Linked DNA regions of Anolis sagrei. The protein of the gene in region 2 interacts with the protein of the main gene of each other region in a pairwise test. Links are inferred from orthologs where the notes say so. Each region holds a gene or a part of one and is shown on either strand. Other genes may lie near its edges. The genes, in order: TSC22D4, POLR1C, POLR2J and CCDC33.

What was found.
Region 1: the proteins of POLR1C (region 2) and TSC22D4 interact in binary tests that used the Homo sapiens proteins (3 or more experiments, as listed by UniProt). The two-hybrid records come from large-scale screens. The link is inferred for Anolis sagrei from reciprocal best matches to the Homo sapiens genes POLR1C and TSC22D4.
Region 3: the proteins of POLR1C (region 2) and POLR2J interact in binary tests that used the Homo sapiens proteins (3 or more experiments, as listed by UniProt). The link is inferred for Anolis sagrei from reciprocal best matches to the Homo sapiens genes POLR1C and POLR2J.
Region 4: the proteins of POLR1C (region 2) and CCDC33 interact in a two-hybrid assay, tested with the Homo sapiens proteins (2 studies listed by BioGRID). The two-hybrid records come from large-scale screens. The link is inferred for Anolis sagrei from reciprocal best matches to the Homo sapiens genes POLR1C and CCDC33.

Annotation. Positions count from the first base shown.
Region 1 is NC_090026.1:2,044,066-2,051,041, forward strand, and holds the start of TSC22D4 (TSC22 domain family protein 4), read left to right. Parts: upstream 1-3,970; 5' UTR 3,971-4,415; coding exon 4,416-5,159; intron 5,160-6,976.
Region 2 is NC_090021.1:49,747,939-49,755,045, reverse strand, and holds the start of POLR1C (DNA-directed RNA polymerases I and III subunit RPAC1), read left to right. Parts: upstream 1-4,089; 5' UTR 4,090-4,134; coding exon 4,135-4,203; intron 4,204-5,166; coding exon 5,167-5,238; exon of another isoform or gene 5,239-5,258; intron 5,259-5,849; coding exon 5,850-5,957; intron 5,958-6,826; coding exon 6,827-6,959; intron 6,960-7,081; coding exon 7,082-7,107. Other genes in the region: protein YIPF3, read right to left, coding at 3,544-3,639. UniProt on the Homo sapiens protein: DNA-dependent RNA polymerase catalyzes the transcription of DNA into RNA using the four ribonucleoside triphosphates as substrates.
Region 3 is NC_090031.1:24,263,193-24,270,380, forward strand, and holds the start of POLR2J (DNA-directed RNA polymerase II subunit RPB11-a), read right to left. Parts: upstream 3,019-7,188; 5' UTR 2,963-3,018; coding exon 2,910-2,962; intron 631-2,909; coding exon 541-630; intron 80-540; coding exon 1-79. UniProt on the Homo sapiens protein: Core component of RNA polymerase II (Pol II), a DNA-dependent RNA polymerase which synthesizes mRNA precursors and many functional non-coding RNAs using the four ribonucleoside triphosphates as substrates.
Region 4 is NC_090029.1:300,472-307,500, reverse strand, and holds the start of CCDC33 (coiled-coil domain-containing protein 33), read left to right. Parts: upstream 1-4,021; coding exon 4,022-4,360; intron 4,361-7,029.

The DNA.
Region 1 (6,976 bases), on a different chromosome or scaffold from region 2:
TGCATAGAGGTAGCCTGGACATTCCATAGATAGGAGAAAGCCCTGAAGTTTGCAAAGTCAACCAGTGAGGCTATTTTGCATAGAGGTAGCCTTGACATTCCATAGATGGATAAAAGCCCAGAAGTTTGCAAAGTCAATCAGTGAGGGTATTTTTGCACAGAGGTAGTTTGGTATTTTGCATATAGGTAGCCTGGATATTCCAGAAATAGATAAAAACCCTGAAGTTGGCAAAGTCAATGCCTCCCAAACAGGGTGCGAGAAAGAACCCTTGTCTGTTGCAATTGGCAAGCTTGAATTAGCATTTGCGGAGCCCTGAAGTTTGCAAAGTCAACCCGTGAAGGTATTTTGCACAGGGTTAGTTTGGTATTTTGTATAGACCTCTATGCAAAATACCAAACTAACCCTGTGCAAAATACCTTCACGGGTATTTTGCACCTAGCCTGGACATTTTCATAGATGGATAGACAGACTCCCCTTGCTTCCGAACAAACCTCTGAAGATGCAATTATTGTTGTTGTTATTATTGTTTTGATTACTGATGTATTGTGGGCTCGGCCTCACGTAAGCCGCACTGAGTCCCCAACCCATCCAAAACACAGACATGTGCTCTGAAGTTTGCAAAGTCAATCAGTGAGGGTCTCTGCATGGAGGTAGCCTAGCCATCTCCCAAACAGGGTGGGAGAAAGAACCCTTGCCTGTTGCAATTAGCAAGCTTGAATTACCATTTAAGTAGCTCTGAAGTTTGCAAAGTCAATCAGTGAGGGTCTCTGCATGGAGGTAGCCTAGCCATCTCCCAAACAGGGTGGGAGAAAGAACCCTTGCCTGTTGCAATTAGCAAGCTTGAATTACCATTTAAGTAGCTCTGAAGTTTGCAAAGTCAATCAGTGAGAGTCTTTGCATAGAGGTAGCCTAGCCGGTTCCCAAACAGGGTGGGAGAAAAACCCTTGCCTGTTGCAATTAGCAAGCTTGAATTACCATTTAAGTAGCTCTGAAGTTTGCAAAGTCAATCAGTGAGGGTCTCTTCATAGAGGTAGCCTAGCCAGCTCTCAAACGGGGTAGGAGAAAGAACCCTTGTCTGTTGCAATGAGCAAGCTTGAATTAGCATTTGAGTAGCCCTGAAGTTTGCAAAGTCAATCAGTGAGGGTAGTTTGCATAGAGGTAGCCTGGGCATTCCATAGATAGATAGAAGCCCTGAAGTTTGCAAAGTCAACCAGTGAGGGTATTTGCATGGAGTTAGCCTGGATATTTCACAGATAGATAAATAGATAGATCAATCGATAGACAGACTCCCCTTGCTTCTGAACAGACCCCTGAAGATGCCATTAGCCACAGATGTAGGTGAAACATCAGGAGAGAATGCTGCTGGCACATGGCTAGTACAGACCTTAAAAACTCAACAGCAACCCAGGAAAGCCTTCAAGAACACATTGTATGTGTGTTCATTCGTTCAGTCGTCTCCGACTCTTCGTGACCTCATGGACCAGCCCACGCCAGAGCTCCCTGTCGGCCGTCACCACCCCCAGCTCCTTCAAGGTCAGTCCAGTCACTTCAAGGATGCCATCCATCCGTCTTGCCCTTGGTCGGCCCCTCTTCCTTTTGCCTTCCACCCAGGAAAGCCTTCAAGAACACACTGTATACTAATGTTTATATGTCAAGATACTTTGAATCCCCTTTGGGAAAGAGAAAGAAGTGTAAATAAATGTAGCAATGTGGGGTGAAACTGTATTCATTGCATGGCAGGTATGGGCCAAATTGGTCCCTCCGTCCAGGTGTTTTGGACTCCGACTCCCACCATTCCTCACAGCCTCAGGCCCCTTCCTTTTCCCCCTCCGCCGCTTAAGCCCGTGTCTTTGTGAAGCAAGGGTAGATGTTGCAATTAGTGAGCTTGATTAGCATTAAGTAGCCAGGAAGCTGCAAAGTCAATCAGCGAGGGTCTCTGCATGGAGGTAGCCTAGCCATCTCCCAAACAGGGTGGGAGAAAGAACCCTTGTCTGTTGCAATTAGCAAACTTGAATTAGCATTTGCATAGCTCTGAAGTTTGCAAAGTCAGTCAGTGAGGGTATTTTGCATAGAGGTAGCCCGAACATTCCATAGTTGGATAAAAGCCCTGAAGTTTGCAAAGTCAATGCCTCCCAAACAGGGTGGGAGGAAAGAACCCTTGTCTGTTGTAATTGACAAGCTTGAATCGGTATTTGCGGAGCCCTGAAGTCTGCAAAGTCAATCAGTGAGGGTATTTTGCACAGGGTTAGTTTGGTATTTTGCTTAGACCTCTATACCTTCACGGATATTTTGCACCTAGCCTGGACATTTTCATAGATGGATAGACAGACTCCCCTTGCTTCCGAACAAACCTCTGAAGATGCCATTATTATTGTTGTTGTTATTGTTTTGATTACTGATGTAATTTGGGCTCGGCCTCACGTAAGCCGCACCGAGTCCCCAACTCATCCAAAACACAGACATGTGCCCTGAAGTTTGCAAAGTCAATCAGTGAGGGTCTCTGCGTGGAGGTAGACTAGCCATCTCCCAAACAGGGTGGGAGAAAGAACCCTTGCCTGTTGCAATTAGCAAGCTTGAATTACCATTTGAGTAGCTCTGAAGTTTGCAAAGTCAATCAGTGAGAGTCTTTGCATAGAGGTAGCCTAGCCGGTTCCCAAACGGGGTGGGAGAAAAAACCCTTGCCTGTTGCAATGAGCAAGCTTGAATTACTATTTGAGTAGCTCTGAAGTTTGCAAAGTCAATCAGTGAGAGTCTTTGCATAGAGGTAGCCTAGCCGGTTCCCAAACGGGGTGGGAGAAAAAACCCTTGCCTGTTGCAATGAGCAAGCTTGAATTACTATTTGAGTAGCTCTGAAGTTTGCAAAGTCAATCAGTGAGAGTCTTTGCATAGAGGTAGCCTAGCCGGTTCCCAAACGGGGCATTCCATAGATTGATAGAAGTCCTGAAGTTTGCAAAGTCAATCATTGAGGGTATTTTGCATACAGGTAGCCTGGACATTCCATAGATAGTTTGCAAAGTCAGTGCCTCCCAAACAGGGTGGGAGGAAAGAACCCTTGTCTGTTGCAATTGGCAAGCTTGAATCGGCATTTGCGGAGCCCTGAAGTTTGCAAAGTCAACCCGTGAGGGTATTTTGCACAGGGGTAGTTTGGTATTTTGCAAAGAGGTAGCCCAGACATTCCATAGATAGATAGACAGCCAGACTCCCCTTGCTTCTGAACAAACCTCTGAAGATGCCATTAGCCACTGATTGAAACATCAGGAGGGAATGCTGCTGGAGTCAATCAGTGAGGGTATTTTGCACAGTGAGGGTAGTTTGGTATTTTGCATAGAGGTAGCCTGGACATTCCATAGATAGATAAATAGATAGATAGATCAATCGATAGACAGACTCCCCTTGCTTCTGAACAGACCCCTGAAGATGCCATTAGCCACAGATGTAGGTGAAACATCAGGAGAGAATGCTGCTGGCACATGGCTAGTACAGACCTTAAAAACTCAACAGCAACCCAGGAAAGCCTTCAAGAATACATTGTATACTAATGTTTATATGTCAAGATACTTTGAATCCCCTTTGGGAAAGAGAAAAGGAAGTGTAAATAAATGTAGCAATGTGGGGTGAAACTGTATTCATTGCATGGCAGGTATGGGCCAAATTGGGCTCTCCGTCCAGGTGTTTTGGACTCCGACTCCCACCATTCCTCACAGCCTCAGGCCCCTTCCTTTTGCCCCTCAGCCGCTTAAGCGGCTGAGGGGCAAAAGGAAGGGGCCTGAGGCTGTGAGGAATGGTGGGAGTCGGAGTCCAAGCTACCTGGATGGAGAGCCCAATTTGGCCCATACCTGTGCGTGCTTCTTCTCTCTGGGCCTTCTTGGCCTTGCTTTGCTGGGCTCCGGGAAGGAAGGGGTTAAGGGGGGCTGGGCCAGCCTTGGGGGGAGGGCAAGGGAGGGGAGGGGAGGGGCAGGCAGTCAGCTGGTTGGGAAGGAAGGACTGACGGAAGGAAGGAAGGAGGGGCCGGACTGACTTCCTTGCTGCTGCTTCTGCTGCTTCGGGTGTCACTCCTCGGTTGCTTCGCCTTGTCAACAGCCTTGCCTTGGGCCAACCGAGGTCGCGGCCTCCCCTAGACAGACCCTCTTTTTTCCCCCTCCCCAATCTTCCCCTTCCCCAAGCCAGGCTTTGTCTATCTCTAAGCTCTGTTGGGGTCTCCCTGACCTTTGACCCCCTTGTGTTGTGACCCCGGCATGGGGTCGGCTTCAGGACTGCGTTGGTGTCTTGCTAATCATAACGATAGGAATTAGACTATACTGATATTCCACCCTCCTCTCTCCCCTCGCCAGGATTTGGGGACGATGATGATGATGATGAGGAGGACAACGACGGTGCCGCCTCGGTGAAGCCCCCGCCTCGTTGCCCCCAGGACCATGAGCGGCGGAGGCAAGAAGAAGAGCGGGTTCCAGATCACCAGCGTCACTTCGGACTACGAGCAGAAAGAAGGACGAGCGGACGCCGCAAAGGTTGGGACGGAAGCAGAAGGGGACGCTGGCCCGCGGGCCAACGGCGGCAACGGTGGGGCGGCCAGAAATGGCCCCACGGCCCCCACCTCCCCGTTGACCGCTCCGTCGCTGGTGTCCGGCTCGCGCTTCCGGGTGGTGAAGCTGGACCCAGGTCCCGGGGAGCCTTACAAGCGTGGCCGCTGGACGTGCCGGGACTTCTACGACGCCGAAGCCGAATCCCACCCCCAGCACCCCTTTGTGGGGCGGCTGGCCGAAGCCGGGCGACACCCGCAGTCTCTGGACTCCCGGCTGGAAGTGGCTGGACTGCTGACCCATCCTCAAGGGCCCTTCAGCCCGCAACCTCAGCGCAGAGGAGGAGGATTTGGAGGTGCCTGCGCCGGTTTGCACTCCCAACTGGTGTTGCCCCCAGCTACGTCCAGCCACCAGGCTCGCTCCCTCGGCGGAGGTCTCCCGGTTATGGTCCGGCCCCACAGGACTCCCCCCAGCCCGGTCTCCCTCCGCAGCCCCCTGGCCTCGGTCCCCAAAGAGGCCGGGGATCCCGGGACCCTCTCTGTTGGGGCCCCAACCGTGCCCACTTTGGTGGTGGAGGAGCACCTCCTGCCCAAGAGCGTCTCAAAGCTGATCCAGAGGGAGACGGATGAGCGACGCAAGGTGAGGCTTTGGGGTGGGCCTGGGTTTGGGGGGCAGGTGGTCCTCCACGTCCTCTGGTTGGCACCATCAAAGTCTTGGGAAGAATAACTCGAAAACATGGAACCGAGGAAGAATAACTGGAAGGCATGGAGCAATAACGGAGGAAGACTCACCCAAAGGCGTGGAACCATCATAGAGCCAGAGCTTCTATTATGGTTCCTCTGTCATGGTTCCAAGCCTTTGGGTGAGTCTTCCTCCATTGTATTGTCGAAGGCGTTCATGGCTGGAATCACTCAGTTCTTGTGGGTTTTTTCGGGCTATACGGCCATGTTCTAGAGGCATTTCTCCTGACGTTTCGCCTGCATCTATGGCAAGAGGAGAAATGCCTCTAGAACATGGCCCTATAGCCCGAAAAAACCCACAAGAACCTAGACCTCACCTCTGAGGATGCTTGTCATAGATGCAGGCGAAACGTCAGGAGAAATGCCTCTAGAACATGGCCGTATAGCCCGAAAAAACCCACAATAATCTTCCTCCGTTATGGTTGCATGCCTTCAAGTCCTTCCCAACTCAGGACGGCCCACATTTAAGGTTTCCCAGGCCAGATCTCCTTGCAGTAGCTTCCTTCCAAGGCTGAGAGAATGTGACTCTCTCCCCAGTGTGCGGTTTCAAATCCAGGCCTCATAGAGTTTTGGAGCAGGGTTCAGTATTCAAGCCTTTGGGGCCCAATTGATTTCAGGCAAAATTGTAGCTCTGAAGTTTGCAAAGTCAATCAGTAAGGGTCTCTGCATAGAGGTAGCCTAGCTGGCTCCCAGATGGGATGAGAGAAAGAACCCTTGCATCTTGCAATTAGCAAGCTTGAATTAGCATTTGAGTAGCCCCAAAGTTTGTGAAGTCAATCAGTGAGGGTCTCTGCATAGAGGTAGCCTAGCCGGCTCCCAGATGGGATGAGAGAAAGAACCCTTGCATCTTGCAATTAGCAAGCTTGAATTAGCATTTGAGTAGCCCCGAAGTTTGTGAAATCAATCAGTGAGGGTCTCTGCATAGAGGTAGCCTGGCCAGCTCCCAAACGGGTGGGAGAAAGAACACTCGCCTGTTGCAATTAGCAAGCTTGAATTAGCATTTGCATAGCTCTGAAGTTTGTGAAGTCAATCAGTAAGAGTCTCTAGAGATAGTCTAGCCGTCTCCCAAACAGGATGGGAGAAAGAACCCTCGCCTGTTGCAATTAGCAAGCTTGAATTAGCATTTGAGTAGCTCTGAAGTTTGCGAAGTCAATCAGTAAGGATATCTGCATAGAGGTAGCCTAGCCACTTCCCAAACAGGGTGGGAGAAAGAACCCTTGTCTGTTGCAGTTGGTAAGCTTGAATTAGCATTTTAAGAGCCCTGAAGTTTGCAAAGTCAATCAGTGAGGGCATTTTGCATAGAGGGAGCCTGGACATTCCATAGATAGATAGAAGCCCTGAAGTTTGCAAAGTCAATCACTGAGGGTATTTTGCATAGAGGGAGCCTGGACATTCCATAGATAGATAGAAGCCCTGAAGTTTGCAAAGTCAATCACTGAGGGTATTTTGCATAGAGGGAGCCTGGACATTCCATAAATAGATAGAAGCTCTGAAGTTTGCAAAGTCAATCAGTGAGGGTCTCTGCATAGAGGCGTGGAACCATAATAAAGCCAGAGCTTCTATTATGGTTCCTCTATCATGGTCCCATGCCTTTGGGTGATTCTCCCTCCGTTATTGTTGCATGCCTTCAAGTCCTTCCCGACTCAGGACGGCCCTCGCTTAAGGTTTCCCCGGGCCAGATCTCCTTGCAATAGCTTCCTTCCAAGGCTGAGAGAA
Region 2 (7,107 bases):
CAGATATTCCTTCTAGTTGAGGACATTTAGATCCATTAGATCAGTGGTTCTCAACCTGTGGGTCCCCTTTTGGCCTATAACTCCCAGAAATCCCAGCCAGTTTATCAGCTGTTAGGATTTCTGGGAGCTGAAGGACAAAACTTCTGGGGACCCACAGGTTGAGAACCACTGCATTAGATAAAAATAAAAGGAAGGAAGTCCAATGACTTTGTGAACTCCTGCAAGCTGTTTTAGGTTGAGGAAAAGTAAATCAGAACTTGGGGGAAAATTCACTAGGCTCAAAAGAAGGTGAAATTGTCTCCCTAGTCTCCTGGACAGTCTTTTCACTGGAAAAAATCCTAACTTTAAAAAAAACAACAACACCAAACCAGTGCACACCAGGGGTATATGCATACGGTTTCCAATATAGTCCCACAATTGCCCTCTTCTGACCTAAAGCTTTTCTATAGTGATTAATACTGTTCTCACATTTTAGGATGGGGGAGACTAAATTAGCGATTCTGTAGTTGTACCCTGCTGCTATAAGAACAAGATTACTTTGAGAATTGGAGACAAATCAATGTCCCCCATCCGCCAAAGGCTTCAAACCCTCTAGAAATGTCACATTTCTGTGCATTACCATAGGAGGTCTAAACGTTTAAAACATATGTTGGCAGAGTGGAGTTCTGGGATGGTTTGCAGCACAAAACTCCTCTTTCCACCCCACAAAAACCACTTATCCCATCAATGTTTTGTGACAAGAGGTTTCTGGGAATGTGTGCTGAAGCAAGAGATCTTACTCCTGATTTCAAATTGAAACCATTTTATGGATCTGAGAACAAACATTAGAGGCATGCCTTCTATTTTCAAGACCGTTACAAACTAGTGTCAAAACAATGCCTTTAGACAAACATAGTATCAAACCCAAATGGCTTGCTTGAAGTTGTGGGAAATCTTTGTTTTTCCAGATACACTGGACTGTCATCCCCACAATATCTTGAAGGGCAAGGTAGATCAGAGATTAACCCAAACCAGACTGACAGTCAAAAGTTTATTGCTTCATAGCGAGCGTATATTTCTACAATAAATAACCTTTCAGATGGAAGAGATATTTCTACAGCCTATAGTGCTATGGAGACAGGAAGGTTAGTTAAGTTAGACCATGGAACTAGTGATTATTTAAGATTATTATAAATTCATGGTATAACTAAAATTGTATGGAATTGAATAAAGTCTATTGAAATGGAAGCTATGAAACATGCATATGATCAGGTTGGGCAGGCAGAACAGACTGCCATTTGAAGACCTGGGGTCAAACGGATAATCAAAACATTCAATTAGTTAACTCAAGAATTTTGGCAGAAAAAACCTAATAATCTTTTCTATTTGTACTAGAAAAATTATTGTTTATGGGATAACAATATGTGGAATCCTTTTAACTCATGAATCTGTCCAATTCTGTGTGTAATTCGATGACTTCAACATACAATTGCAAAAAGAGACCATTTAAAGAGGAAGCCCTTTTCCAAAATGGGAGAAAATTTAAAAGACTAAATAAAAGGTATCATCCACATGAGTTAGAAAGTGGCACTTGCACATATGTCTTCCATAGCTGTTGCAATTGCAGGGCTTTTTCAGTTGTTTGTGTAATCAAAGCTGACAAGGCAATAGCTCCACAACAATAACTAAATCTGTGCCTAAAGAAGAAAGCCTAGAGCAAGTGCATGCCATTGGAAAGGTCAGCCACACAAATGTCATTGCAGAGAAGCTGTATTGACAACTCAAATCCGACAATATTACTCAAATTTAACATTTCTGTAGTTTTATCTTACAAGTATATTACAGGCATGAATAAGGAGAACTAAATCAGCCTTATGATGTTTTCATAATTTGAACCAATACTGACATCACTTCAAAGTTCCTGTTAATAATGGGTACATCTCAACTGTAGTTAATGCAATTTGACACCAATGTAATTACTGTGGCTCAATTCAATAGAAATCTGGGAGTCATAGTTTGGTGAGGCATCAACACTATTCAGCAGAGACCTTTTAAAACTCCAGTTCCCAGAATTCCATAGCATTAAGGCATGGCAGTTAAAGTAGTTTCAAGCTACATTTAATTGTTGCATTGGAGATACATTCAATATTATAAATAGAAATACCACTAATAATAAAAATTAGTGCAATCTATCCGGAGATCAGCACTGAGGCTCATCCCTTTAGTATCTAGAATAAAGCTTTCCAAAATGTCATGATATATTATAGTGTCTTGGTTGCAGTGTGTAGGTGTGTTATGTGAATGTAATGAGAAACCTCTGAGTATGTAAAGTAAGCATAATGATATATATTTAAAACTATATGGTTATAAAAGGATGGTTTAAACTCTGGTTTTCCAGTGAAACTGAATTAGTGGCACAAAATGATGCATGCTCCAATTCTGTGGAACTCATTGCCTCCATACATTAGAGCATTGTCGGAGTTGCGACCTTTTGTAAAGGCACTCAAGACTTGGCTGTTTGGTTGTGCATTTAAGTAATCAGATCTAATTTGCCAAATAGTCACTGTTGAATGTTTTTATGTTGAATGTTTTTATATTGTGTAAATGCTATTTTAGATTGTAAGTCGCTCGGAGCACCTTGGTGGAGAGTGACTAATTAAGAAATAAAGTGAAGTCTAAAAAGTGTGTCACCATGAAATGTTTGGAAAGCTCTGCTCTAGAGCTTCCTTCGGCAACAACCCCTTTGATCTCTTATTTCAAAAACTTTATTTGTTATGTTTATTTTTCTCTCTCTCTCCTTTATATATTTTAAAAACGTAGCATATTCACCCGAGCATAATGGGTCATTCAATCTAATGCACATTTTAATTTTTAGCTGTGTAATTTATCCAAAAAAAAGACAAGCATTAGACTTGGGCAAATAATGTACAATTCTGTTATCATTACATTAAAAACACCAGATTTGGGGTTGGCCAAATGAACAGACAGTTACCAGAAGGCATTTCCATAAGTTAGTGCTTAGAACTACTTGAACAGGACACTGCTATTTTTACCCGTATGTACTCAAGTGTAATGCACCATTGAATCTAACAAACACATCAATTTGGACTATATAGCCATTTTAGTCCCCAAAAGGGGGAGCATTAGACTCAAGTAAACATGGTATTTCCTAATACATTTTAGGAGCACCTAAAGGAACTCCAGCAGGTTTTGAAGCTAAGAAGTTACCTCTCAATAGGTGGTTATCTACTAGAGGACTCACTCCTAACTAAGCCAACTAAATAAGTACATTCTCAAACACTCTCTCCTACATTGTTCTATATGACAGGACCTGATCCCAGATTATTTGCTTATCACAGATCATCTGGCAATGGAGACTCATATAATCCAGTTCAACCTGGGGTCAGATTCTGGAACATAAGGACAGTGTAGAAGGGACCTTACAAAACAGGGGCTTTTCCTGCCTGACGTTTTTGAAGCAGAGTTGGCGTCCAAAACACCTGGAAGGGAGGGCCAAGTTTGCCCCTGCCTGGTCTCTGGGCTAACTCCAATGCCGAAAGGTACCTGCATGTTGTCCTCGAAGGCCCCCCACTCGGCCACAGGCCCAGCCCTGGCTCCTCCAGCCGCCGACCCCGAGGGGACGCCTCCGGATCCGGACATCTTCCCTCCGGCTGCGAGGGAGCCTACGCTCCCGCTTCCCTGAGAGGAGAGGCAGGAAAACAGGGCCCAACTGAAGGCGAAGCGAGAAGGACCCGGATGTGACACCCAGCGGCGCTGAGGACGTGGAGGCGCGGCCCCTCTCGCGATATTTTACGGCAGGCGGCCTGTCGCTGGCGCCATCTTAGTTGTCCTCCTGGACAAGCTTAGCGACAACGGGCGAAAAAAAGGCAAAGTTTGTCCTCTCTGTTAAAGAGTGGTGCCTCATAAAACTACAGCTCCCATCATTAATGAGTATTGAGAGCCTTGTCAGTGAAAGGGGTTTCAAGCAGCATGAATTCTACAGCGAAGGAGCGCCACACACAATATGGCGTCCAAAAGGTTACGCGCCGCGTCACGTGACCCCAAGAGAGCGTCGCTTCTGAAAAAAAAAAACCAAAACATCCGGCGGAAGTTGGAAAGTTGATCTTTTCTCCTCCGGCTCACGTTGGTTCCAAGATGGCGGCGCCCGGGAGCGTGGAGGAGATGCGGAGCCGAGTGGTTCTGGGCGAGTTCGGAGTCCGCAACGTAAGTCGGGAAGGGAGAAAGGGAACCAGCAGCAGCAGGGGGGGAGCGAAGGGGCACTTCCAGGAGGCCTGCCTTGGACCCAATCCCCGCCACAGCCAGGCCAGGGAAGACAGCTGGTTCAGCTCACAGAGGGGCCACCAAGGAGGAATCAGTGCCGCTTGGCGCCACTTTCACAGCTGGGGATCAATGCTGTGGCATCTTCCACTCTAAACCAGACCGGACAGGCGAAAGCTAAAGCAGGCCTGGGCCAAGTTGGGCCCTCCAGGTGTTTTGGACTTCAACTCCCACCATTCCCAACAGCCTCAGGCTTGTTCTCCAAACGCTTGTTCATTTTAGTTGCCCTCCTCTGGACACATTCCAGCTTGTCAACCTCTCCCTTCAATTGCGGTGCCCAGAATTGGACACAGTCTTCCAGATGTGGTCTAACCAAGGAAGGAATAGAGGAGTAGCATGACTTCCCTGGGTCTAGACACTGTACTCCTATTGATGCAAGCCAAAATCCCATTAGCTTTTTTTTGCCGCCGCATGACATTGTCGGCTCATATTTAACTTATTGTCCATGAGGACTCCAAGATCTTTTTCACACGTGTTGCTCTCGAGAATTTAATGGCCTTGTAGCTTCAGAAACCATATGCAAATTAGTAGATCAAGTGAGACCTACTAATTGGGCCCTCTAGGTCTTTTGGACTCCAAGATATCTTATTATTCATGTCAAAGCAAATACAGGTATTCCATAAACTGAAAGATCCCAAAACATTTCTGATCTCAAGCAAGCGTTTTGGATAAGGGATCCTCAACCTGTACAGTATAACTTTCAGTGCTCAGTTGGCCCCTTGTGTCCACAAATTCAATTGTCTATGGCTTGAACTAGGGGGATTTTCCTAGCTCTGTCTCAGGCTGACCCTATGATTTTCTCTGCAATGTATATGTTCCAAGCATCACCTCTTCCCCTCTTTTTTTCAGGCCCACACAACAGACTTTCCCGGGAATTATTCTGGATATGATGATGCTTGGGATAGAACTAAGTTTGAAAAGGTGAGCGTACTTCTTCTTAGGTATCTTGAGGGGCTAGCATGATAGATCTTGATAGTAACCAGTAGAGATTTAGAACCTTTGTTTTGTTTCTAGAAATTGCTTTATCTATATAGTATATATTTGTTCAGCCAGTAGTACTGACATGTCTATTGTGAGGTGGAGGGATTTATGGTCCAGGTGTAAAAGATACAGGATAGATTTCAATTCAGCAGGGATTGATAATTGTTGTATCCTGCCTCAAGCTATGTGGAGAGGCAGGTAACAAGTACAATGCATTGTTGTTGTTGTTAAGTGCACTACACAAAGAAAATTCCCTTTGACCTTGGTATCTCTGGGGCCCACAAGCTAAATCTGGAGGATACATATGGCCTGGGAACTGCATTTTGCCCATTCCTGCTGTAGGATTCTCTTTTGCAGAAATACACCTAAAACAGACTGGAAGAAAGTAATTGATGTGAGGATTTGATTGTAAGCTGAATATATTTTTTCAGTGGTGTCGATTACTCAAACACATCCCTGATTGCGAAGTTTTTTTTACTTCTTGTTCTTTTCCAGTGAATATATTTTATCCTTAAGACTACGCCTGTTTTGAAACTGTTTGTTTCTTACAGAATTTCAGAGTAGATATCATCAGCATGGATGAAAGCACACTGGAGTTTGACATGGTGGGGATTGATGCAGCAATTGCTAATGCTTTCCGACGCATCTTGCTTGCTGAGGTATTCATTAGATTAGTACAATGAGTAATAAGGCACTTTTGGGGCATTTCTCTGGGTTATGACTTAGTTGGCTGGGTTTGGCTGCAATTACATTTTTACAAGTACAAGCTGGTCATTCTGAGTTATTCCAGAAGTTTCCCTTAGAAGTAAATAAAATGTTGAAGAAATATTGAGAGGGATGTGTGGTACTGTTTCATTATCCTGATGGAGGCCATTAATGTCATTATTTTATATGGTTTTATATATATGGTTTATGTAGTGTGTTTATACAGTGTTTTGTTTATTGTTTATTTGTCTGGGTTGGGGATGATGTTGTACTCTTGTATTATGTAATTTCTGTTTTTTAACCATTTGTTTGCCACTTTGTGTCTCACCTGTGAGAGAAAAGCGGATAAAAATAAATAAATAATAATAATGATAATTTCTGCTTCTTATAATTTTTACTGCTTTAGACTAAACTTGGTGGAGTGTGCAAAATCCTAATTTGCAGTCATTTAACTATAAGTAAAGTCTTTACAATTATCAGTGGTACGTTCTAGATGGTTTAACCTTTTCTTGGTCAGACCTTCAGGAAATGCATGGCAAATGTGTTAAATTGCCTAGTTTCCTTGTGGAGGCTTGATATATTGCTTAGAAATAAGGGAGTTTTGCCTCTCCTAATATAGTAAAGTAAGACTTTGGATTTACACAGTAGATTTATATTTTAGATCTTCTCGATACATGGCATGAACAAATAGCATTATACCTTCAGAATCCCTAAACAGATTCAGCTGAAATAAATAGATGTGTTTATTTATTGTAGACCGATGCTTTGCGATACTGTGGCTGAATATCTCTGCTTAGCAACAGATTTATTGTCTCTTCCTTAGGTGCCAACCATGGCTGTTGAGAAGGTCTTTGTATATAATAACACCTCCATTGTGCAGGATGAAATTTTGGCTCATCGTTTAGGACTGATCCCTATCTGTGCAGATCCTCGTCTCTTTGAATATAAAAGTGAAGGTAAGATAGCCAAGTATGCATTTGTAGGGGGACCAAAACTGATGAAGCTATGTGCTAAAAGAAGTTAATGCCAGAGCATAGGCTGTGTTTGGAGTTTTCAGTCTCTTTCTTTTCTTCTGCAGAGGATGAATGTGATGAAATTAACACT
Region 3 (7,188 bases), on a different chromosome or scaffold from region 2:
CCGGATGATGATCTTGTGCTCCAGCGGGTGGGGGACCTTGTAGCCCGCAAACAGCACCTGCGGGTCCTTCAGCAGCTGCCTGCAAGGAAACACCAGAGGCACTCCAAGTGGCCGGCTTCTGTTCAAAGGACATTTTGTCCTGATCTGTTGTTTTCTAGAGAAGAAATTACCTCACAGACTGACTGGAAGGGCTTTATTTCTCAAAGTATACAGTATGGTTACAAACAAAGTTCCATCTGACAGTTGGTTTCCCTCTCACCTCATATCACAGACCACCTACTACATTTAATACAATGCCAAGTTATTAAATTTGTGGTTTTAAATACATTATAACTGTACCTTCAACTCGCTTCTGACAGGATAAATAAATAAATTTTAATTCTCTGTGATATGGGGAAGCTTCCAAAGCTTTCATGGCAAAATGCAAGAGCCATCGTCGTTGTCATCATCATCATCCTTAGTGAAATGTGGAAGCTTCCAAAGGCTTGATGGCAAAATGCAGGTGTCTTATCCTCATCATCATGACCCCTCTTTACTTACGATTTAATGATGTTCCCGAGCGTATGGTCTTCCTTGTTAATGGTGAAGAGGCAGGCATTGGGGACTTTGGTGTCCTTGTTGATGGTAATCCTGGAAGGAAAATAAACCAGGAAAAGCCTCAGGCACATATATAGACAGCTCAGTATCAATATGAAGACAATATTTGAGAGGTCACTTTAAGGAGATAGCTTTCTCTTGAAATAAGGATCCAATGGCGGAATGGGATCAAATGGCAGGAAAAGAGATCCCACCTCAACATGAGGAAGATGGTCATAAGATATAAAAGAATAATAACATAATATATAATAAATAATATAATGTACAGTAAGAATAGAATAGGAAAGGGTAAGGATAAAACCACAAATAATATGTCACCTCTAGACTGGACTACTGCAATGCGCTCTACGTGGGGCTGCCCTTGAAAACGGCTCGGAAATTCCAATTGGTCCAACGGGCAGCAGCCAGGATGTTAACGGGGGCCCATTACAGAGAGAGGTCAACCCTCCTGTTTAAGGAACTCCACTGGCTGCCGTTTATTTTCCGAGCCCAATTTAAGGTGCAGGTGCTTACCTACAAAGCCCTGAACGGTTTGGGACCACCCTACCTGCGTGACCGCATCACAGTCTACGAACCCACACGCTCACTCCGGTCATCAGGAGAGGCCCTGCTCGTGATCCCGCCCGCGTCGCAGGCGCGTTTGGTGGGGACACGGGACAGGGCCTTCTCTGTGGTGGCCCCCCACCTCTGGAATGCCCTCCCGAAAAATCTCAGACAGGCCCCTACCTTGGCGGTTTTCAGAAAGAACCTGAAAACCTGGCTGTTCCTACGTGCCTTCTCAGATTAGGACCCCCACTACCAAAGCCCAGAAGCACTTTAGTAGAGTCAAGATCACCCTCACCGCACACTGCACTTATATTTTAATCCCATATCCCTCCGACACTTCAGCACTTTTTAACCCTGTACCTCACTCTGGCCGGCTCAGTTTTTAATAATGTTCTGTTGTACTGCTACTGTTATTGTTTTCTGCTTTAACTGTTTTAATTTGCTATGTATTGTATTGTTGTATTGTGTTGGGCTCCGGCCTGTCGTAAGCCGCATCAAATCCCTTGGGAGATGCTAGCGGGGTACAAATAAAGTTATAATAATAATAATAATAATCTAATTTAAAATAAGAATTATATATTTATATTATAGAAATAAAAAGAAGGTATATGTATAAAAGAAAAATAAAATAATATCCAATCTAATAAATAATATAACATAGTTTAGAGTAATAATTATATAGGATAATATACAATATATACATAATATAATAATAAAATAAGAATAGAAAGAATATATATTAAAAATAAGAATATGAGTATATGTAAGAATAATATAAAATAATATGTAACAATAAATAATATAAAATAATATATATATATTCTAATACTACAAAATACTATAAAATAGAAACAATATATAATACTATAAAATAAAATATAAATATATCATAAATAATATAACAAAATTTAAAATAACTATTATTACATAGTAATGATGTAAAACAAGACATATATATTTATATTGTAATATGCATATATAATAATATAAAAAAGAATAACATATATAATACCATAAAATATAAAACTAGACTATATAATATAATAAATAATATAACAATTTAAAATAATATATTATATATAATAAAATAATAAACAGTAATATAAAAGAATACTATAATACTAGATATAGGGGTAATATCATGAAATATATATATATTATAATATAAAAATAATATGACTATATATAATAAATAAAATAATTTATAATATGATAAATAATAAAACAATTTAAAATAATATATATTATATATAATACAAAATAATACATAGTAACATAAAATAATACTATAAAACAAGATATAGGTGTAATACTATAAAAGAAGTATATAGATTATATTATAAAAATAATATAAAATAAGAATAAATAATATAATATAGCAATTTAGAATAATAAAGATGTGCATGTTATAATATAAAATAAGAATTATAGAAATATAGTATAAAATAAGAATTTACAATATATATATAATATTAATATAACAATTTAAAATATTAAAATATAACAATATAAAATAAGAATACATCGATATCATAATAATACTATATATATATATATATATATATATATATTACTATGAAATATGAATGAAATAATTATCTCTATCAAGGTACAGCCTTTAGGCCCGCTTCTCTGGTAGTTTTGCCACAGAGACAGCCCGGCCATCTGTCGGGACGGGTTGGATGGTGCCCCGCCTGCCTGGCCACAGCGGGGGTGGGCCTGGGTGGTCTCTGGAGGCCCCTATTATCCCGGTGGAGGGAACTCACTTTTTCTCCCCTTCGAAGAGCAAGAAGGACTCAAAGGCCGGAGGAGCGTTCATGGCTGGCGCTGGTCTTTCCTGGCGCTTCCGGCTCCGCCCCTTCCGGTTCTTCCGCGCTAAGGGCGCGAGCGTGAGGCCTCTTCTGGCCTTCCTTCCTTGCGCGCGCCCCCCCTCTGGAGGCCCCCGGCGGTACTGCAGGCTCTTCGTGGAGTCAGGTCAGGGCCCTCCCTCCTCCCTCCCTCCAGGTCTTTGGGACTTCAGTTGTGAGAGGATTTCGGAGGTGGGGGGGGGGCTGAAGCCCCCCGAGCCCCCCCCCCCCGGCTACATGCCTGTAGACAGACATAAAAACAGATAGATAGATTGTCAGATAAATAGTCAGATAGATAGACAGCCAGGGAGTGTGATAGCTAGAAACACATAGATAAATAGATAGATAGATAGATAGATAGATAGATAGATAGATAGATAGATAGATAGATAGATAGATAGATAGATAGATAGATGTTCAGATAGATAGATAGATAGATAGATAGATAGATAGGCAGTCAGATAGATAGGCCAATAGATAGATAGATAGGCCAATAGATGATAGATAGGCCAATAGATAGATAGATAGGCCAATAGATGATAGATAGATAGACAGTCAGATAGATAGTCAGATAGATAGACTGACTATCTGATATAGATATAGATCATCTGATATAGATCATCTATTGGCCTATCTATCTGACTGCCTATCTATCTGACTATCTATTTATCTATCTGAACATCTATCTATCTATCTATTTATCTAATTTTATACATGACTATCTATCTATTTATCTATCTATGTGTTTCTAGCTATCACACTCCCTGGCTGTCTATCTATCTGACTGTCTATCTGACTGTCTGTCTATCTATCTATCTATCTATCTATCTATCTATCTATCAGACTGTCTATCTGATAGATAGATAGATAGATGATAGATAGATAGATAGTCAGATAGATAGATGGATGGATGGGTGGATAGATGGATGGATTGGATGGATGGATGGATAGATAGACAGACAGTCAAGTAGATAGATAAATAGATTGATAGTCAGATATATAATCAGATAGATAGATAGACAGTCAGATAGATGGATAGATGGATAGATAGATCGGCAGTCAGATAGATAAATAGCTAGATAGTCAGATAAATAGTCAGATAGATAGATAGGCAGATAGCTAAGCAGTTAGATATATAGTCAGATTGATAGATCGATAAATAGGTCGATAGTCAGATATATAATCAGATAGATAGACAGTCAGATAGATAGATAGATAGATAGATAGTCAGATAGATTAATAGATAGTCAGATAGATTAATAGATAGTCAGATAGATTAATAAATAGTCAGATAGATAGATAGACAGATAGATTGATAGATTTAGAACCTCCGAATAAATAGACAAACTTGAATTGGAAAATGACCCAGTAACGGTCCAAGACGATGGAACGGATAAGGACTTGAATGAGAGGACATAGTTTTTTTGTTTTTAAAATTGTTATTATGCCCTATCTTTATGTTTAAATGCATTATAATGGTTACTTTTGTTTATCAATGTATGCATTTTTATGGCATCGAATTGTGCCGACTGTGTATGCCGCTCTGAGTCGCCTTCTGGCTGATATGGGCATGGCAGAAATAATGCAAATAAATAAATAAATAGTCAGTTAGATAAATAGATAGATAGCTAGGTAGATAGATAGTCAGATAGATAAATAAATAGATAGTTAGGCAGATAGATATATAGTCAGATTGATAGATAAATAGATCAGTAGTCAGATAGATATATAATCAGATAGATAGATAGACAGACAAATAGTCAGACAGATAGGCAGTCAGATAGATAGATATAATCAGATAGGTAGATAGCTAGAGAGACAGATAGGCAGTCAGATAGATAGATAGTTATAGATACATCTATTTGGTGAAGCAGGGGAATGCTAAATCAACCTAAAAGTCAATCTCTCCAGATTCGATTTCAAAAAAGAGACAGATAGATAGATAGATAGATAGAGAGAGAGAGAGATAGATAGATAGGAGGCCAAATATGTGTCTCTTGAAATCAATGTCTCTATCTTTCTGCCTATTATTTAATAGATGCAGATGTGGAAGGCCTAGAGCCGACCTCCTGCCTTTCCCCATTCTGATGCGGCCCTCCTCCTCCTCCTCCTCCTCCTCCTCCTCCTCCTCCTCCTCGAGGATTATGGGCTTTGCTGTCCGCTGACCGGATCTGCCTGACGTGAGCTCTGCGTAATCCGGACACCCACCCATTCACTCAGCATCTGGCACTCTGGAAACCAGCAGCAGTGCCAACATCTGGAGGACTTTAAGCCCCGGAAAGCGAGGACATCCTGGGCACTCGGGAGAGCGCCTTTGCTTTTGTTTTTTATGAATGCTCCCATTAGAAAATGCATAAGGATGTGGGTGAACTACAATTCCCAAAATTGTGGGTCAGTCCTCCCTAAAGTCTGTCATTATTTACAGTTGGGTCTGTGCGCAAAGTTTGGTCCAGATTCATTGTTGGCTGGCTTCAGAGGGCTCTCTGAATATGGGTGAACTATAACTCCCAGATGCCAAGGTCAATCACCCCCAAACCCCTCCAGTAGGCAAAGTTGTCTGTGTTGGGTCTGTGTGCCAGGTTTGATCCAGATCTGTCATTGGTGGAGTTTGAACGCCTCACTTAATACAGGTGAACTATAACTCCCAGATTTCAAAGACAATCATCTCCTAACCTTTAGGCACAGTCATGTTGTCTCTGTGTGCCAAGTTCAGATCCCTTGTCGGCTGGGTTCAGTGCTCTCTGGATAAGGGTGAACTACAACTCCCAGAATTCAAGGTCAATTACCCCTCACCAGGACGTAAAGTGTGTGTGTGTGGGGGGGGGGGGGGTTCTGTGCCCCAAATTTGTTGTAGGTCAATCATTTGTGGGAGTCACAGTGCTTTCTGGAAGTGGATGAAGGTACTTCAAATCCCATCATCCGTGGTCCATCCTCCCCCCAAACCTCACCAAGATGTAAAGTGGGTCTAACCCCATTAGTGAGTGAAGGTACTGCAAATCCCATCATCCATGGTACAATCTCTTCCAAACCTCATCAGGACATAAAGTGGGTCATGGGGGGGGGGTGTTATTGCGCCAAGTTTGGCCCAGGTTCGTCATTCGTGGAGGTCGCAGTCTGTGGCAGTGAGTGAAAGCGCTGCAAACACCATTATCTGTGGTTCATCCTGCCCCAAATTGCACCAGGATGGAAAAAAGAAGGAAGGAAGGAAGGAAAGAAAGGGGGAAAATAGGTAGGAAACAAGGAAGGAAGAAAGGAAGGAAAGAAGGGAGGAAGGAAAGGAGGTAGGGAGGAAAGAAAGGGAAAGGGAAAAAAGGAAGGAAAGGAAGGGAAAAAAGAAAAGGAAGGTAAGAGGGAAAGGTAGGGGAGGGAACAAAAGAAAGAAGAGAAGAGGAAAAGAAGAGAAGAAAGGAGGGAGAGAAAGAAAAGGGGTAGATATGAGAAGAGGGGAGGAAAGAAAGAAAGAAGGAAAAAGAAGGAAGCAAGGAAAGGAAAGGTAAGGAGAGAGGGAGGAAAGAAGAAAAGAAGGAAGGGAAGGAAAGGAGGGAGGAATGAAGGAAAGAAAGAAAGAAAGGAAAGGAGGTAGGGAGGGAAAAAGTAAGCAAGAAAAGGAAAGAAGGAAGCAAGGAAGGAAGGAAAGAAAGAAAGAAAGGAGGTAGGGAGGGAAGAAGTAAGCAAGGAAAGGAAAGAAGGAAGCCAAGAAGGAAGGAAGGAAAGGAGGTAGGGAGGGAAGAAGGCAGCAAGGAAAGAAGCAAGGAAAGGAAAGAAGGAAGGAAGGAAGGAAGGAAGGAAAGGAGGTAGGGAGGAAAGAAGGAAGGAAGGAAAGGAGGAAGGGAGGAAAGAAGGAAGGAAAGCCAGAAGGAAGGAAGGAAAGAAGGAATGAAGGAAAAAAAGAAAGGAAAGGAGGTAGGGAGGGAAGAAGGAAGGAAGGAAGGAAGGAAGGAAAGGAGGTAAGGAGGAAGGAAAGGAACGAAGGAAGGAAGGAAAGAAGGAAGGGAAGGAAAGGAGGAAAGGAGGAAAGAAGGAAGGAAGGAAAGCCAGAAGGAAGGAAGGAAAGAAAGAAGCAAGGAAAGGAAGGGAGGAAAGAAGGAAGGAAGGAAGGAAGGAAGGAAGGAAGGAAGGGAGGTAGGGAGGGAAGAAGACAGCAAGGAAAGAAGCAAGGAAAAGAAAGAAGGAAGGAAGGAAGGAAGGAAAGGAGGTA
Region 4 (7,029 bases), on a different chromosome or scaffold from region 2:
CTTCAGGGCCAGAAATCCATCTCATTTCATGAGAAGGTCTTGGGCATTATGCTTAACGAAGCCCAAAATATAAGCCAGGGGATGGGAACCCTCAAGATGCAGTTGGACTTCAACTCCCAGCGTTCCTTATCACTGGTCATACTGGCACAATAGAAGCTCTACTTAACAAGACTTCAAATAGTCTATGATTGAAGGCAGGTATGGGCATATCTGGCCCCTTGGGCTCTTTTCTCAGGCCCTCCTCTCTCTCACCATCCTATCCTACCTTCGTTCTTTCCTTCCTTCCTTCTTTCTCCTTCCTTTCACCCTTTCGCATTTCCTTCTTTCCCTCTCTTCCTCTTTCTCATTCCTTGCTTCCACCCTTTTGTCCTTCCCTCCCTTTCCTCCCTCCTTATTCCTTCATTCCCTCTTTCGCCATTCATCCTTCTCTTCCACCCTTTCATCCTTACTTTCCTTTTGTCTTTCCTTCCTTCCCCATTTGTCCCTCTTTCATCCTTCCTCTCTTTCCTTCCTTCCTTCCTCCCCTTTTGTCTTTCCTTCCTTTCCTCTCTCTTTCTCCCTCTTTCTCCTTCATTCCTTCCTTCCTTTCCCTTTGTCTTTCCTTCCTTCTCTCTTTCCTTTATCCTTCCCTTCCTTCATCATTCCACTCCTTCCTTCGTTCCATCATTCTCTTCCTCCCTTTCATCTTTCCTTCCCTCTCTCTTTCTCCTTCCTCCCTTCCCTTTTGTCTTTCCTTCCTTCTCTCATCCCTTCATTCCCTCTTTCTCCCTCTCTTTCTCCTTCCTTCCTTCCTTCCCCTTTGTCTTTCCTTCCTTCTCTCTTTCCTTTATCCTTCTCTTCCTTCATCATTCCGCTCCTTCCTTCGTTTCATCATTCTCTTCCTCCCTTTAATTGTTCCTTCCCTCTCTCATTCCTTCCTCCTTTCCTCCCTCCCTTCCTGATCTCTTTCGCCCTCCCTCTGTCCTTCCCTTTCATCTTTCCTTCCCTCTCTCTCTTTCTCCTTCCTCCCTTCCCTTTTGTCATTCCTTCCTTCTCTCATCCCTCCCTTCCCTCTCTCATTTTCCCTCTCTTTCTCCTTCCTTCCTTTCCCTTTGTCTTTCCTTCCTTCTCTCTTTCCTTTATCCTTCCTTCAACAGTCTGCTCCTTCCTTCGTTCCATCATTCTCTTCCTCCCTTTCATCGTTCCTTCCCTCTCTCATTCCTTCCTCCTTTCCTCCCTCCCTTCCTTCCCGACTTCTTTCTCCCTCCCTCTGTCCTTCCCTTTCATCTTTCCTTCCCCCCTCTTTCTCCTTCCTCCCTTCCTTCCATTTTTGTCTTCCCTTCCTTCTCTCTTCCCTCCCTTCCCTCTCGCATTCTCCCCCTCTCTCTTTTTCCTTTCTTCCTACCTTCCTTCCTTTCCCCCTGACTTTCCTTCCTTCTCTCTTTCCTTTATCCTTCCCTTCCTTCATCCATCCCTTTCTTCCTTCATTCCATCCTTCTTTTCCCTCTTACTTCCTTCTTTCCTTCTCTTTTTCCTTCCTCCTTGCCTTCCTCCCTTTCATCCTTCCTTCCTTCTCTTCCTTCTCTTCCTCCCTTCTCTTTTTCCTTCCTCCTTCCCTTCTATCCTTCCTCCCTTTTGTCCTTCCTTCCTTCTCCCTTTCCTTCCTCCTTCTCTCCCTCCCTCCCTCCCTTCTCTTTTTCCTTCCTCCTTCCCTTCCATCCTTCCCTTCCTCCCTTTTGTTCTTCCTTCCTTCCTTCTCTTTTTCCTTCATCTTTCCCTTCCTTCCTGTCCTCCTCGCAGGGAGTGTGGTCCCCAAGTTAGAAGGTTGGCCCGGCCCTGATTTAAGAGGATAGAGAACGTTGATGATGGGAATGAATTCCTGGTTTTGAGGCCCAGAAGCTCCGACATGGATTAGGTCATTGTTGTGTTTCCTTTGATCTGGTCCCACCAGGGGATTTTCAAACGGTTCACGGATGGTGGTGTCATCCTTCACCTGCCCCCCTTTCCCTGTTTTCCTGGCCTTTAGTCATGGTCCTTCCAGTAACGGAGACGGGGCCAGGGTGGACTTTCCCAGCAACACGGCACTACGGCGAGTCATCACAGCTGAGAAGAAAATGATGTGATGTTCTTACTTTATGCTGATATAGAATCATAGAATCATAGAATCAAAGAGTTGGAAGAGACCTCATGGGCCATCTAGTCTAACCCCATTCTGCCAAGAAGCAGGAATATTGCATTCAAAGCACCCCCGACAGATGGCCATCCAGCCTCTGCTTAAAAGCTTCCAAAGAAGGAGCCTCCACCACACTCCCTCCGGGACAGAGAGTTCCACTGCTGAACAGCTCTCACAGTCAGGAAGTTCTTCCTAATGTTCAGATGGAATCTCCTCTCTTGTAGTTTGAAACCATTGTTCCCTTGTGTCCTAGTCTCCAAGGAAGGAGTAAACAAGCTTGCTCCTTCCTCCTCCCTGTGGCTTCCTCTCACATATTTATACATGGCCCTCATCATATCTCCTCTCAGCCTTCTCTTCTTCAGGCTAAACATGCCCAGCTCCTTAAGCCGCTCCTCATGGGGCTTGTTCTCCAGACCCCTGATCTGCTCCCTCCTCCCTGTGGCTTCCTCTCACATATTTATACATGGCTATCATATCTTCTCAGCCTTCTCTTCTTCAGGCTAAACATGCCCAGCTCTTTAAGCCACTCCTCATAGGGCTAGTTCTCCAGACCCTTGATCAGGTTCGCAGCTTGGGAGTGATCCTGGATTCATCGCTGAGCCTGAAGCCCCAGGTCTCGGCAGTGACCAGGGGAGCATTTGCACAGCTTAGGCTTGTGCACCAGCTGCGCCCGTATCTTGGGAAGTCTTGGCCACGGTAGTCCACGCTCTGGTTACATCCCGCTTAGACTACTGCAACGCTCTCTACGTGGGGTTGCCTTTGAAGACAGCTCGGAAGCTCCAACTAGTCCAACGCTCGGCAGCCATGATTTTAACAGGAGCGGAGCGCAGGGAGCATACAACCCCCCTGTTGCGCCAACTCCACTGGCTGCCGATCTGCTACCGGGCTCAATTCAAAGTGCTGGCGTTGGCCTTTAAAGCCCTAAACAGTTCCGGCCCAAGCTACCTATCTGACCGCATCTCTGCCTATGAACCCACCAGGAGTTCTTGGAGTTTGAAGCCATTGCTCCATTGCGTCCTAGTCTCCAGGGAAGCAGAAAACAAGCTTGCTCCCTCTTCCTCCCTGTGGCTTCCTCTCACATATTTCTACATGGCTATCATATCCCCTCTCAGCCTTCTCTTCTTCAGGCTAAACATGCCCAGTTCCCTAAGCTGCTCCTCATAGGGCTTGTTCTCCAGACCCTTGATCCTTTTAGTCGCCCTCCTCTGGACACATTCCAGCTTGTCAATATCTCTCTTGAATTGTGGTGCCCAGAATTGGACACAATATTCCAGATGTGGTCTAACCAAAGCAGAATAGAGGGGTAGCATTACTTCCCTAGATCTAGACACTAGGCTCCTCTTGATGCAGGCCAAAATCCCATTGGCTTTTTTTGCCGCCACGTCACATTGTTGGCTCATGTTTAACTTGTTGTCCACGAGGACTCCAAGATCTTTTTCACACGTACTGCTCTCGAGCCAGGCATCCCCCATGACCAAGAGATATGACCTTGGGGGTCCCCCATGACCAACAGAATATTACTGTATTTTCTGATGGTCTTTGGCAACCCCCCTGATACTCCTTCATGACCCCCCCCCCGGGTCCCGACCCCCTATGATGAGAGACATTAACCTAGAGATTCCTCGTGATAACATTTTAATCAAACCTGTGAAGAATCCAATCTATAAAAGTCACAATTGCAAATGTGGAGGGATAACTGTCCTTACCTTTTTGGTTTTCATTTCACAAACAGGTTTCTGCAAGAACGACAAGAACCACGATGCCCGCCTGCGCATCGAAGCCTTGCGCCTCCGTGGGTCTTCTCTGAAGGGGGCCATCAAGGCCGGCGAGGCTTTCTTTGCCATCTACCCGCGCACCAACCAGCCGCGCATGAACCTGTTTGCCGGCCGAGACGAAGACGTGTATGGCTACAGCGACATCCTGGTGCTGCTGCGAGTGGGTCCAGACGATCTGGCCATGCACTGCGGGAGGATGGCCTTCACCGTGTCCTTCCACGAGCACCGACCAGTGGCCCAGAGGAAGAGGCCCATCACGCCCCGCCGCCTCTCGCCGTTGCCTCCCACCAAGGCGGAGGAGCTGCCCGAGGGAGAGGAAACCAGTTCCCTGTCTCCTTCCCAGTCTCTGCAGGTCCCTCGCTTGGTCTATCCAGTCTCCACCTCAGAAACTTCCACTTCGCTTTTATTCAGCATGGAACCCCACACCCCCCAGGTTAGGAGAAGAGTGAATTTTTGTCACAACATTTCGTTTCTTGGGAAGGGAAAAAGGAATTGGCATGACATCGTTGCTGGAGCATTGAACTCCATCAGCATTATTGTCCATGATATATATGGGATTCATCGTGAGATATCTTGGAGATGGGACCCATGTATGATGTATACGGAACACATCCTGAGATATCTTGGAGATGGGACCCAAATACCATATATATGGAATCCATCATGACATATCTTGGAGATGGGACTCAAATACGATATATGGGATACATCATGAGATATCTTGGAGATGGGACTCAAGTACAATACATATGGGGTACATCATGAGATATCTTGGAGATGGGACCCAAGTACAATACATAGGGAATCCATCATGAGATATCTTGGAGACGAGAGTCAAGTACGATATATATGGGATACATCATGAGTTTTCTTGGAGATGGGACCCAAATACGATATATAAGGAATCCATCATGAGATATCTTGGACATGGGACCCAAGTACCATATATATGGAATCCATCATGAGATATCTTGGAGATGGGACTCAAATAAAATATATATGGGATACATCATGAGATATCTTGGAGATGGGACTCAAATACGATATATATGGGATACATCATAAGATATGTACAATACCAAAGTACAATACATATGGGATACATCATGAGATATCTTGGAGAAGGGATCCAAATACATATGGAATACATTATGAGCTTTCTTGGAGATGGGACCCAAATATGATATATATTGGATACATCATGAGATATCTTGGAGATGGGATCCATGTATGATATCACATCCTGAGATATCTTGGAGATGGGACCCAAGTACCATATATATGGAATCCATCATGAGATATCTTGGAGGTGGGATGCAAGTACCATATATATGGAATACATCATGATATTTTTTGGAGATGGGACCCAAGTACAATACATAGGGAACCCATCATGAGATATCTTGGGGATTGGATTCAAATAAGATATATAAGGAATACATCATGAGATATCTTGGAGATGGGACCCAAATACGACATATAAGGAATACATCATGAGATATCTTGGAGATGGGACCCAAATACGATATATAAGGAATACATCATGAGATATCTTGGAGACAGGACTCAAGTACGATATGTATGGAATACATCATAAGATATCTTGGAGATGGGACCCAAGAACCATGTATATGGAATACATCCTGAGATATCTTGGAGATGGGACCCAAGTACCATATATATGGAATCCATCATGAGATATCTTGGAGATGGGATCCATGTATGATATGCACGGGAAACATCATGAGATATCTTGGAGATCGCACCCAACTATGAGATATACAGGAAACATCATGAGATATCTCAGCATGTATAGGGTAATTCTACACAAACATAGGGTGCATTTTAACTGATATGGAATTGAATCCTGGAAGATGTTGTTTGACAAGATCTCCAGCCTTCTCTGCCCAACCACATCAGTGCCTCAGCAAACTACATCATCAAGGATTTCATAGCATTGAGCAATGGTAGTGAAATTGAGGTCACACCAAATTAATTCTATGGAGTATATGCACCCACTCAGCCATGAAAACCCACTGGGTGACCTTGGATGAGCTCTAGAAAACCCTTAGGGCTAACTTAAGTTGGAAATGATTTGATGGCATCCAACAACAACAATAGGAAATATTCATGATGTAAAGGATGACATTATGCACAGGAACTGAAATGTATGTACAGTCAGCCCACTCTAGGGGTCTCTAGGTCCTCCAGAATGACTGTATCTGACCAAGAATGACTCTTGGTCAGATCTGGAGGACCTAGAGATTTCCAGAGAGAGATGTTCTAGGAATCTTTAGGTATTCCGATGTGACCTTATGGCAGTGATCCTCAACTTTCCTAATGCCATGACCCCTTAATACAGCCCCTCATGTTGTGGTGACCCCCAACCATAATGTTGTTTTTGTTGCTACTTGATACCTGTCATTTTCCTACTGTTATAAATCATAATGTAAATATCAGATATGCAAGATGTATTTTCATTCAATGGACCAAACTGGGCACAAATACCCAATGCACCCACATGTAAATGCTAGTGGGGTTGGGGGAGGATTGACTTTGTAATTTGGGAGTTGTAGTTGCTGGGATTTATAGTTCACCTACAATCAAAGAGCATTCTGAACTCCACCAGCGATGGATTTGAACCTAATTTGCCACACAGAACTTCCATGACCAACGGAAAACACTGGAAGGGTTTGGTGGGTATTGACCTTGCATTTGGGAGTTGGAGTTCACCTATATGCAGAGAGCATGGTGGACTCATCCAAACTTGGCACAAATACTCAATATGCACAAATGTGAACCTAATTTGCCACACAGAACTTCCATGACCAACGGAAAACACTGGAAGGGTTTGGTGGGTATTGACCTTGAGTTTGGGAGTTGTAGTTCATCTATATCCAGAGAGCACTGTGGACTCACGCAATAGTGGATCTTGACCAAACTTGGCAAAAATACTCAATATGCACAAATGTGAACACTGGTGGATCTTGGGGAAAATAGACCTTGACTTTTGGGAGTTGTAGTTGCTGGGATTTATAGTTCATTACAATCAAAGAACATTCTGAACTCCACCAACGATAGAATTGGCTCAAACTTCCTATA